Linked DNA regions of Coturnix japonica. The protein of the gene in region 3 interacts with the protein of the main gene of each other region in a pairwise test. Links are inferred from orthologs where the notes say so. Each region holds a gene or a part of one and is shown on either strand. Other genes may lie near its edges.

Evidence for each region.
Region 1: the proteins of USP25 (region 3) and TNKS2 interact in a two-hybrid assay, tested with the Homo sapiens proteins (2 studies listed by BioGRID and IntAct). The link is inferred for Coturnix japonica from reciprocal best matches to the Homo sapiens genes USP25 and TNKS2.
Region 2: the proteins of USP25 (region 3) and SYK interact in binary tests that used the Homo sapiens proteins (3 or more experiments, as listed by UniProt). The link is inferred for Coturnix japonica from reciprocal best matches to the Homo sapiens genes USP25 and SYK.

The regions. Positions count from the first base shown.
Region 1 is NC_029521.1:17,321,864-17,325,517, reverse strand, and holds part of TNKS2 (poly [ADP-ribose] polymerase tankyrase-2), read right to left. Parts: intron 3,100-3,654; coding exon 2,994-3,099; intron 2,427-2,993; coding exon 2,240-2,426; intron 1,449-2,239; coding exon 1,292-1,448; intron 974-1,291; coding exon 911-973; 3' UTR 1-910. UniProt on the Homo sapiens protein: Poly-ADP-ribosyltransferase involved in various processes such as Wnt signaling pathway, telomere length and vesicle trafficking.
Region 2 is NC_029547.1:39,258,066-39,261,719, reverse strand, and holds part of SYK (tyrosine-protein kinase SYK), read right to left. Parts: intron 1,827-3,654; 5' UTR 1,785-1,826; coding exon 1,371-1,784; intron 785-1,370; coding exon 624-784; intron 1-623. UniProt on the Homo sapiens protein: Non-receptor tyrosine kinase which mediates signal transduction downstream of a variety of transmembrane receptors including classical immunoreceptors like the B-cell receptor (BCR).
Region 3 is NC_029516.1:88,770,084-88,773,737, reverse strand, and holds the end of USP25 (ubiquitin carboxyl-terminal hydrolase 25), read right to left. Parts: intron 3,354-3,654; coding exon 3,230-3,353; intron 2,585-3,229; coding exon 2,389-2,584; intron 1,957-2,388; coding exon 1,784-1,956; 3' UTR 501-1,783; downstream 1-500. UniProt on the Homo sapiens protein: Deubiquitinating enzyme that hydrolyzes ubiquitin moieties conjugated to substrates and thus, functions in various biological processes including inflammation and immune response.

The DNA.
Region 1 (3,654 bases), on a different chromosome or scaffold from region 3:
TGAGGTTAATTTGCCAACTACATTCAAGAAAAATAATTTATTAAAACTAACTTGCAAGGTCTACTAGCCTTGAAGGGAGGATACGGTTCAACTATAGCTACAGTTAAATAAAAACTTCAGAAGACATTTTACAGAAATTAGAAGACGAGACTCTATAAAGAGGTGGAAAAGCACCCAAGCATTCAGCTGGAATATTTTCATAGCCTATCACTCTCAGGAATGTATATTTCATAAATAAAACTACGGAACAAAAATTTGAATATTCAATCTAAAGTTGGCTATTTCTAAACTTCTCCAGATAAAATTCGTTTTCTCCCTCCCAAACAAATGATAAACCCTGAAATAATTGGCTTTTCAAATCTATTGCGCATGAGCAAACAGGTGAACAAACCAACATCTGGAAAAAACCATTTTGTACAAGGTTGCAGTTCTAAAACACGTATATTACAAAGCAATGTAAATAAATACCAAGCTAGTACAAAAGCTCTTATTTACAGTTTTACAAATGAAAACATTTTCAGTGTAAATGCAGTGTTTTAAAGAACACAATATTAGTAAAACAATTTCCTGTATAGAGCATCATAATTTCTGTTATATTTCAATGCAGTATTGTATAAAACCATCGCTTCAAGTTAATTTTTGTTTATAATTTAGTACAGGCAAACTGCAGTTTACGCCTGGAATGGTATCCGTTAAAGTGCTGAAAAAAGACAATTCTGAAATTTTAGAAAAACATACTATACATTATTAAAGCTTCATCAAGTCAAAAACGGCAGATTTTATTCACATTTGCTACCAACACCACCTGTGGATGGAAGATTTTTTTCTCAACAACTCATTGCAGTTAACAGGATGGCAGCCATCGGTATCTTCACATCCAAGTCTGATGGTTTCTCACACAAAATTTATCTTAAGCTTCAGTGGTGGCTTCAGGTTTCATGATCTGGTAAGTAATCAAGTATTCTGGATAAGCCTGAAAGAGTGACACACACATTCTTTATTAAGTTTACGTTTTCTGGATACATTCAGAATGTTTGTTAGAGAGGAAAAAAACCAACATGTTTATGTCAAAGAAAAGGACAAAATGTCAAATGGTAGAATGCCTCGAGTACTCAGGCAACAAAGAAAACTCATGTTCGGCCACAGCTGGAGATTAAGACAAAAGCTACTCCTAGCACATGGAATGTAAGGTGAAAACAAAACAACCACAACAAACCCTCACAAAAGGCAAGACACTACATCACCCTAAAATAATAAAAGTCTGAAAATGCAAACCAGAAGAGCAACTTACCTGCTCCCCTCTGTAGATGACATATTCTGCCAATGCCAGTCCATTGACACTGGGTCTCCCAGTAACTGAGTGATGTCCAGGGGGAGAATGGGCCATTTTCATAGCACTGAACTGCAGGAAAGACTTGCCCAGCGTTACACGACAGAACAACAACTGTCTGTGTTAAAAGGGGAAAAAGAATCATGACTACAGAATGCTTGTACAGCACTAGAAAGACAGTCTTCATAATTTTAAACTGCTGCTTGAGAACTGCGGCACTTTGTGGACACTTTGGATGGCGTTGGTAGTTTGCAAAACTCTGAAATTTTATTTCCCTTTTAATTTTCTATGGGTCCCCACTCCCTAACTATTCATGCTAACATCATAGTGCACTAATGCTCTAACATTAGATTTCAGTCTGACATTCTCTAGACCTCAAGAAGATTCTTCTTTTTATTTGAGAGTACCAGAAGATGGCAACAGTATAAATACAGGCACACGGACTCAAGGATGTAAAAATGTAGGTAGTGGCAGGGATTGCATAAATCCATGTCTATACTTTAGCGCTTGAAGCAGCAGTGACATGGTAGAGATGAACTCTTCCAAAGTGCATTCTCCTCAACACAGCATCTGAGCATCACTAAGTTTTTCCATGTCTCTATAAACAGGCAATCAAGTGGACAGCACACTGACACTGCTACATTTTAAACACAAGCAGCTAGCAGATCCTCCTTGTTCTCTACCTAAGTCTGATTTTTAAGGGCAAAGGCTTATTTATATACACTGAAGATGGTTGAACGCTCTGTAATACAAATACCAAAGTTCTTTGATCATCTCTGCTAGGCTCAGTGTATAGCAAGGCCTGGTTACCAAGGAAATCTTTTCTCACAGAATCTGCTAACTTACACACTGTGTTGCAGACCAGCAAATCAAAATTAGATTCCTTTATGTTATTCCTTCATAACTTACCTATGGCAAACATAACAAGATCTATCTTTGTGAATTGGACATCCAGTGCCACCTCCAATCCCATACACATACTGATTGCTTTTGGAAGAATTTTCAGCAAAATAAATTCCAGCTCCAAACATGCCACCTATATAAGCGTGTCTTTCATCAAAGCCTTTGTGAATGATTGCGTTCACAAACGGGGAGCCTAAAAGAAGGGAAGTATAAATATTTAAGTACAGCACTTGGAAATTTATAACAATTTTACTATCATCCCCCAACTTTTTTTCTTTTTGGCATACCATTTCCACACACACACAGAAGGAAATCAATCTCCAGCAACTGTGAGCTCCAATTTACATGACAAGATTGCTGAAGATCTTATGCAAGGGATAGGAGCTGAAACATGTCAGCTTATCATATATTTACAAAGGTTACTATCTCAAACAACTCTTGCTATAGGAGAAGGCTCAGTGAACCTGGATTCCCTTCAGCATGGCTTCATATCATAGATTCTGGATTTCACCGCTACATAAATCCCATTCTTGACACTAAGTGGTATTTAAAAAAGAAGTTAAAAAATACACTCCAAACAAAACTGTGCAGCAGCTGTCTAAAGCATTCTTCTGTTTGTCTCTCCAATGTTCTTTTTCACCACTTATTTACTTGCAATTAACGGTCATAAAATTTAGACCTCAAGAATAACCAACAGAAACCCTCCACTAAAGAGTACTGATGGTTAAATGAGTATCAAAGACACATCCCAGCATCTCACCATGAAACAGCATCCTTTCATTAGCATGGTTATGATTCTCTTCAGAGACTTCTTTCCTCCTGTGAGTGTATCTTTCCCACAGCTTTTTGTTGCAGACTTTCTGAATCTGAAACAGTAAAAACTTAAGTTTCACCTCCAAACTCAAAACATGTGTTGACGTGACAGATTTTTAACATACATTAATTATACTTCAACACTTTAAAATGCTTAAGGAATATTTAATTATTTCTTTCCTTAAAACTCAAGAAAACACTGGAATTCTCTAATTTATCCTCACAAGTATTATTCCAGTTTGGTACTGAGTAAATTGTAACTATATGTTTAAAAGTAATTGATTCTTAATTAAACATCTTAAACCTTTTTTACATTTAGCAGGTCTAATCACAATTATACCTCGGTATCCTTCCAAGAGCAGATTGATAAAGCCACCTATATAAAGTAGAGTTCCCGTGGAAAAATACTTGTCAAAGCAAGTAAGTAAGGTACCCTAAGCAGAGGTACACTGAGCACTAACAAAGCCTTGTGTGTGTAGATAATGCATCTATTCTACCAGAGAAGTGTAATATTAGGTTAGCATAAAGTTTATATTTAAGAAATTAACAGCTTATAATTTTAAACAAAACAACAATTTCCCTAGGACAAAATGCAAACTGAAATTCTA
Region 2 (3,654 bases), on a different chromosome or scaffold from region 3:
TTGGCAGAATAATGGCAAATCAGTAATGTGAAAACAGTTGGCACTGAAGAAGCATGTCCACCCTCACTTCTGAGGTTTTACCTTGGCTCAAGAAGGAGCTGCAGTCTGCCAAGAGCCCACATTGCAGCAGGAAGTGTGAGAAGAAAGGAGCATCAGGGGGAAACTATTGCAGACTGACTATAACCCCAGACTCTATCCCCCTGTGCTGTCTGGTGGGAAGAGGAGCTGGGCGTGAAGGAGTGAAGATGAGCTTGTAAAAATGGGAGGGGGGGTGTTCTGAGGGTGGTTTATGTTTTTGTCTTTGTTATTTACTATCCAAATTTTAATTTGGATTAAATCAGTTTTCTCCAAGAACTGGTAAACAGTTTCCCAGTTCTCTCTCATGTTGACCAACAAGCTTTTCAATCCTGTTTTCTGACTTCCCATCCAGCTGCAGTGGCAGATTGTGAGAGCAACTTGGTGGGCTAAGTTTAACTCACCACAGCCACTTAGTACGTGTGGATAAATTCAGCAGGCATCTGTGAATAAGCCACCTCTTTGGGTATACTCTCACTTGCTGTTCAGCCAAGTGAACTATTTAATGATGGTAGTGATAAACGACAGCAATGCAGGAAAACACTTACAAAAATTTTCCATTGTTTCTTGACCCAATGAGGATACGGTGCTCTGACTCTTCCCGGGAGATCCTCCCATGGAACCAAGGCATCTTCTCATGGGCTGTAGTGGCAATCAGTTTCTCCAGCTGAGGCTTTTGGCTAATTATAGCTTGTTCAAGAGCATGACCCTGGAGTGGTAAAATAATAGGACATTCTAACTGTCTTCTGCAGTAGAAAACGTACAGATGTAACCCCAGTATTGCATTGCATCTGGGACACCTAACACATGCACATATTTACTTTATGTGAAGAAAAATACTAGTTGCTACACAGACACTGAAAGACAAAATACGCTAGAGCAATTTAAACATCACAAAGCTGGGATTTTTCCTTTATCTCTAAGAAAGAAGTGAGTAACTTAAGACATCAGTATCTTAACTGAAAAGATAGTCTGACATAGCTAGGTATACTTAATATCCCTGGGATGTCAAACTGCATCTCCGAGAGTGTTGTCCAAACAGTGCTGGAGCTCTGGCAGCTTGGTGCCATGACCTCTGTTCTGGGGTGCCTGTTCCAGTGTCCTGTCACCCTCTGGTGAAAAGCCTTTTTTCAGTACCCAACCAGACCCTCCTCTGAAGCAGCTCCATGCTGTTCCCTTGGTGGGTCCTGCCACTGTTATCACGTAAGAGATTAGCACCTGCCTCTACTCTCCCTTAGTGAGGAGACTCTAGGCTACCATGAGGTCCACTTCATGGCAAATTCACCTGGATTTACCTGCAGATTCCATGTTTGTTTGACATACTCTCTGATGAGGTTCTCTTTTAAATCTTCAAAGGGCCCTGTTTTGGGCTCAACGCCTGGTGGTCGATTGAAAGATTTTCTCAGTAGACAGATAAGGCCATCTGCTTCCTCTGAATGATAGTTAATGAGTTCAGCAGGACTTGCATGTGATTTGCCTCCTGCAATAGCATATGTCCCACTCAGCTCTCTCTCAATTGTGTAATGATGAACCTTCCTTCCATAGGCCAAGGATAATGCAAAGCCCCCTAAGTAATTCCGGCTTTGGCGAAGCAGGTATAGTCCATCACTCATTCCTCCTTGCATCAAATACTCCTCAGCATCCTCACGTGTAATATTGCCAAAGAAGTATGGCAAATGGTTAGCAGGGTTAGCCATGCTGGAAGCCATGATTTTTTTTTTCTTTCCAAGTAGTCAATTAATGTTTAATGCCTGAAATGAAAAAAGGAAACATGAGCATCACTAGAAGTTATTAATGTGATAGTGTAATCTTGAACAGCTTTCATTTCTAATTCCTTATATTGGAATAATATAAAGAAACACAACAAAAATACAGAAAAGAATGAAGTTCGGTATCTCTGAGGAGTACTGAAGACAATATAAATAGCTTAAATTCTTTTATTCTTAATTTAACAGTTACTCTAGATACAGGAGTACTGTTCTTGATTCCTGTGTTCCCTTGAGTTACCTCAATCTTTGACACTGCCATCAGAAAAACTTACCTTTATTAAACCCTAAGATATGCTTACACTGCCTGGGCAGCTAGGTACTGTCCTATAGAAAAAGACTGCTGTTTCTCCATCTTTACAAGATCACTGCATATCTGATATTCTTTTTTTCCAGTGCACGTACACTAAGAAAAATGTATGTATACAAAGTACAATAATCAAGGACATTAATGTAGAAAATACTTATTGGTTTTATTTTTGTTACTGTTCATCTGTCTTCCCATCTTCCTTTACTTTGAATAAAGGCTGAATAAAGGCTGACAAAAGAATGAGAAGCTCAGCTGCTGTTTCAGTTGCTGTGCAGGATCTAGCTGCAGCACCAGTACACCCTTCACAACTAAAATAAAATGGCAGGATTTTAGGGAAACAAGACAGAAGTCCATGGATTAAAAAATGCAAGTATACGTCAAGATCACTCAGCCTGCCGAGTGTGCAATTGTGTATCAGCTGGCTGAAGTGTGCAACTAAGTCATGTGAAAGTGGGTGGAGAGAACTTTATAGAAAACCAAGCAAGAAGGGAGGATCCCTGGTGCAACACTGCAACTGAGGAGTCAGCATCCTAAAAAAGAACCCTTTGTCACAGGGTGCTTCAGGCTGCCATCTTCCCCGGCAGCCCTGCTGCAAGCATGGCTATTGCCTTCTCAGTTCATAGATGGATCATTACCAAACTGTGGCCAATCTGATATTTCTTGCATATGAGGCAAGAAACAGATGAGAAATACCTTCACTATGAGTATGCGAGGTAGTTGCAGTGAGGGGAGCACACTAGTCAACTGAACAAGAATCCCACAACACAGAAAACACTGCAGAAAAGCATAGACAGGGCACAATCAACACTGAGACATATGTTTTGCAGATCTTCTGGTTTTCTCTCCTTCCTGAATAAGGGAGACATTCCAGCTACAAAACTGATTTCTATACAGCTTATTAACTCTTGTGGTTTGCATCCAAAAATTACTAACTTAAGATCACTTTCTACATTCAATTTAACCTTTCCAGCATTTTTGTTGATAAAATTTCCCTTTGCTTTGCCTTTAAAATCTCTACATTTTGAGCAGTTATGATCTTAGTCTAAATTACCTATCAACACATCTCTCCCTGTTTATTGCAAAACAAGCCCATAAGGGAAGAGGATGGTAGTCAGTAAGTCACCACAAGTAGTCATTCTACAAAAAATACCATCTAAAGGGGAAATTACATTTGCACCAAATGAAGACTAAGAAGACATCCCTTTAATTAAATGCATTATTTTAGTAGCTTACTGCAGGGCCAGAGGCTTGTAATCACTGACCACGTGGTCTAATTGGCTGTTCATAGTGGTCTACTCCAGGACCCACACAGGGGCCAGTAATATCCAACATCTTCATTAATGAGAGGGACAGGGGGGCTACAAGTTCACATATAATACTTAACTGTGAGCTGTAGCGGATAAAACAGAGGATTTTGATGCCAGTTTGAGGGACAATAAAAGAGTGGAGAGCTGAGATTAGATGAATTTAATTTATCTGACTGGGAAAAAAAAATTGAGGTCT
Region 3 (3,654 bases):
TTCAGCATTTTCAGAAGATGCATTTATTCTTTCCTTGAAATGTGACATTTCATACACAAGTAGTTTCAGGCCTAAAAAAGAAAAGGTTTCTGAGTAGTACTGTGATACTAATAGCTCAGTTTAATATAACAGATGGGTAGACTGACAATTATGAAGCACTTCAATACTGAAAAAAAGAAGAGGAAAATACTCATGCGGGGGAAAAAAAAAAAAAAAAAAAGAAAAGAAAAAAAACCTTTAAAGTCAAGCCCACATTCTATTTACTATATATTTCAACCCAGTGTTTTCTCAAGAGTGAATAATTTTCAAGACTGAACTTAGCCTCTTCTTGAATGTAAGCTGCCCACACATATCCCACTACAGTTCTAGGTGATCTGAAATCAATTAATCCTTCCTCCTTCCTTCTTTCCTCAGTTATTTTGTTAGCAGAAATCAGAATACTCTCCACTAGAAAGCTTGCAATGAGAAGTTCAGTGTCGCTCCAATAAAGCCAACAAGCAAACATTCACATATTTTACTGTTCTAACACAAAATGTTCTCTATAATGAGTAAGAATGAAAATAGTATCAGGTAACAAGATTAATTAAGGACACGTTAAATTTCTTTCTCCACAAAATAAGTAACACTCTTTGTTTAAACTAGACAGAGTTTCAGTTCTACAAAACAAACCCTGTAGAACTTTTCTTTCACTTCCAACAGAAATGTGATTAGGACACACATAAGATTGCTGAGATTCTTGTAGCATCAATAGCAACACATTTCAAGTAAGGGATTAGTTATGTTTTTACTTCTGGTCATTCACATAGCTAAAATACTAGTTTGGGGTTTTTTCTGTTTGTTTGTTTTTAAAACAACAACATTAATTAACCTTTAAGATTTGCCAAGTCCACTTTTTCAAAATCTTTATTTTCTCTATTCAAATCAACTCCTAAAATTTTTGCTTAGAGATATTAATATATTTCAAATGAAAATAGGTTTTTTTGTTGTTTTTTTTTTCTTTCAAGCTTTTTCCAAAGAATAGAAGGGAAGCATCATTGTTGTTTTGCTTCATAAGCCAGTCCTTGTCATCAGAATACACGTGGCATAGCCACACACACACAGAAGTGTTCAGGTGCAGTATCATAAAGATCAAAAAAGTATATACAAAATAAACCCAACCAACAGCGTATAATACTGCGACAGTTTTTCAGAATATTCACATACAGTAATCTCTGACTACCTTCATCTAACTGTCCATAAATCCTGAAGAATCTTATCTATAAAATGGAGTTACCCATCAATATACTGTATCTCTCCTAAAAATGCCTATATTTTACACTAATATACAAGTTATCTGCTTGCAAACACAGAAGTAGCCATAAATAAAACTTTATTCTTTCATTTCATTTACAAGCTACCAAGTACCATGTATTTACACAGCACTGGACACTTAAAGTAGTTGCAGTCACAAAATGATCCAGACAGCTGTTGATAAAGTAAAGGATCTTAAGATAAAAGCAAAGTAATACTGTAACAGAGAAGTGGCAAAAAAGCAGTTTTGCCATAATTATCAGACTTGCAAGTTGCATCAATTCTGGTTGAAACGACTGAGTGCCATGCGATTCTCAGCTTTAACTGTTTGCAGTCTGGCTAAACTTTGTACAGTCATTTCTCTTCTGCAGTTATTAAAAAAAAAAAAAAAAAAAGTTAAAAACTATAGCAGCAACAAGCAAACCCTGTGACAGGAAGGCAAGGTTTAAGAACTAAAAAAGTTTATACAGTGTGCTCAGGAAGGTTGCAGAATTTATCTTCCATCAGCTGGAGTTCGACTGAGTGACAACATGATTCGGGCGTATCTTTCACACAGTTCATGTGTGGAGTACGAGGGTAACTTTGGCGGGTCATTGAAACCTTTAATCTCTGTAGAACAATCTAGTAGTTTTGGCAGGAAATCTGTCAGCTTTTCTTGCAAGTTAGCTGCAAATGAAAGAAAAGAAAATAACCATAAGCTTTTATGTCCACAGGTGCAATTTTCCTCTTCCTGCTCCAAACTGATTCTTTTTTTTTTTTTTTTTTTTTTTTTTTTTTTTTTTTTTTTTTTTTTTAACAGGGATGGGAGTATTAAGAGTTTCACTTGGAATAATGCACTTTCTTCAGTGAATAAAAGTTTCGTTTAAGGACTTTGTTATATATAGAAAATATTGCAGAACTTCATTATTATGTATGCATGGGAAAAACTGCTGTTCATTTAAATGTGTACAGTATTACTCTAAAGTCATGGTAATTCAAAATATGTTACCAAAACACAAAAGATTCAGGCTCTGTTCAAGACACAAACCAAAACATTTTAAAAAGTAATGAATAAAAATCAGGAGTGTGTGAGCGTCTTATACTTTAATAAATACTTACGTTCCATTTCTTGTCCAAGATAGGAACACCAACGATTTCTCATATCTTCCACAGCGACAATATCTTTTTCTTCCATTTCATCCACCAGAAGTAATGGCAAACACGGGACAATAAGCTCATTCATAATGATCAGGCCATTGTTTACTTCCTGATCATCTCCTGATTCAAACAGTGCTGCAGCATGTTCATTTAGTTTCTTCACGTACCACCACAAAAAAGAAATTCTTTAAGTATACAGCATTTCACAATTGACCATTCTGTTTTTGTTTGCCTTATGGCAAATCTGCAATAACAACTGAGCTTTAACGTTCACAGCAATGGTACATAAACTCTATTAAACCATTTGATCTTGTACTACTCTCCTAAGGCCACTTCAGTTGATACCTGCCAAGTCAACTTTTTTAGCTACTCCTTTTCAAAACTGAGGTCCTACCATCTGCTCTTGCCTATTCTTATGATTGCAAAGAAAAAGGTGACATAATCAAGGAAAAAAAATCATATCTGCTGATACCTTTTTCTAAACATTTGCATCCCTGTCCAACTGCAATAACATTGCAAGTTCACCCACCAATACTGCCCACTGTTGCTTCTACCTAAGCCCAGACACAATGGCAGTGAGCACACTACTTATAATGATAAAGAAACTGATTACTTAAAACAAACACATGCTTTATTCTCACTACACACATTTCTTCCTCTCACCTTTTTCTTATTGAAATCTTTGTAATTTTTAATGAAAATGCTTTGGTTTTAGTTTTTTTGAAAGTATGGCAGCATTGCCTAATTTGTTAAAGCTATGTGGAAAATTCAACTTTTGTAGTATATTGCATCCTTCACTTACTAGCAAACATTCTCGTCTGTAGTGAGATATCAGCTCTTCATCATGCCCTCTGTATGGGCCTTTGGACAAGAGTTCTTTGTTATTCTGGTAAGCATAGATAAGGTAGAGCAAGGCTTCCATATAGCTAAAGCAAAGTAAAGAAACAAAGTTGTTAGATGCAAATCCAGATGACACCTATTTCAAGTTAACTACTATGTTCTTCATAGGATATGCAACTTCACTTACTTGCTTGACTGCAAATCCAACCCTCCTCATCCATCTCTTCATAATGTTGCATTTTCTACCACATATTTTCTTCTTTTGTATACATTAGAACAATGTATTTTATTATCAGACTAGATAACTTGCACATGAAGTGTGATCCAAAGCTCACTGACATAAACCTATATCATTTCACCCACTTCAAAAATGGCTTTGGATTAACC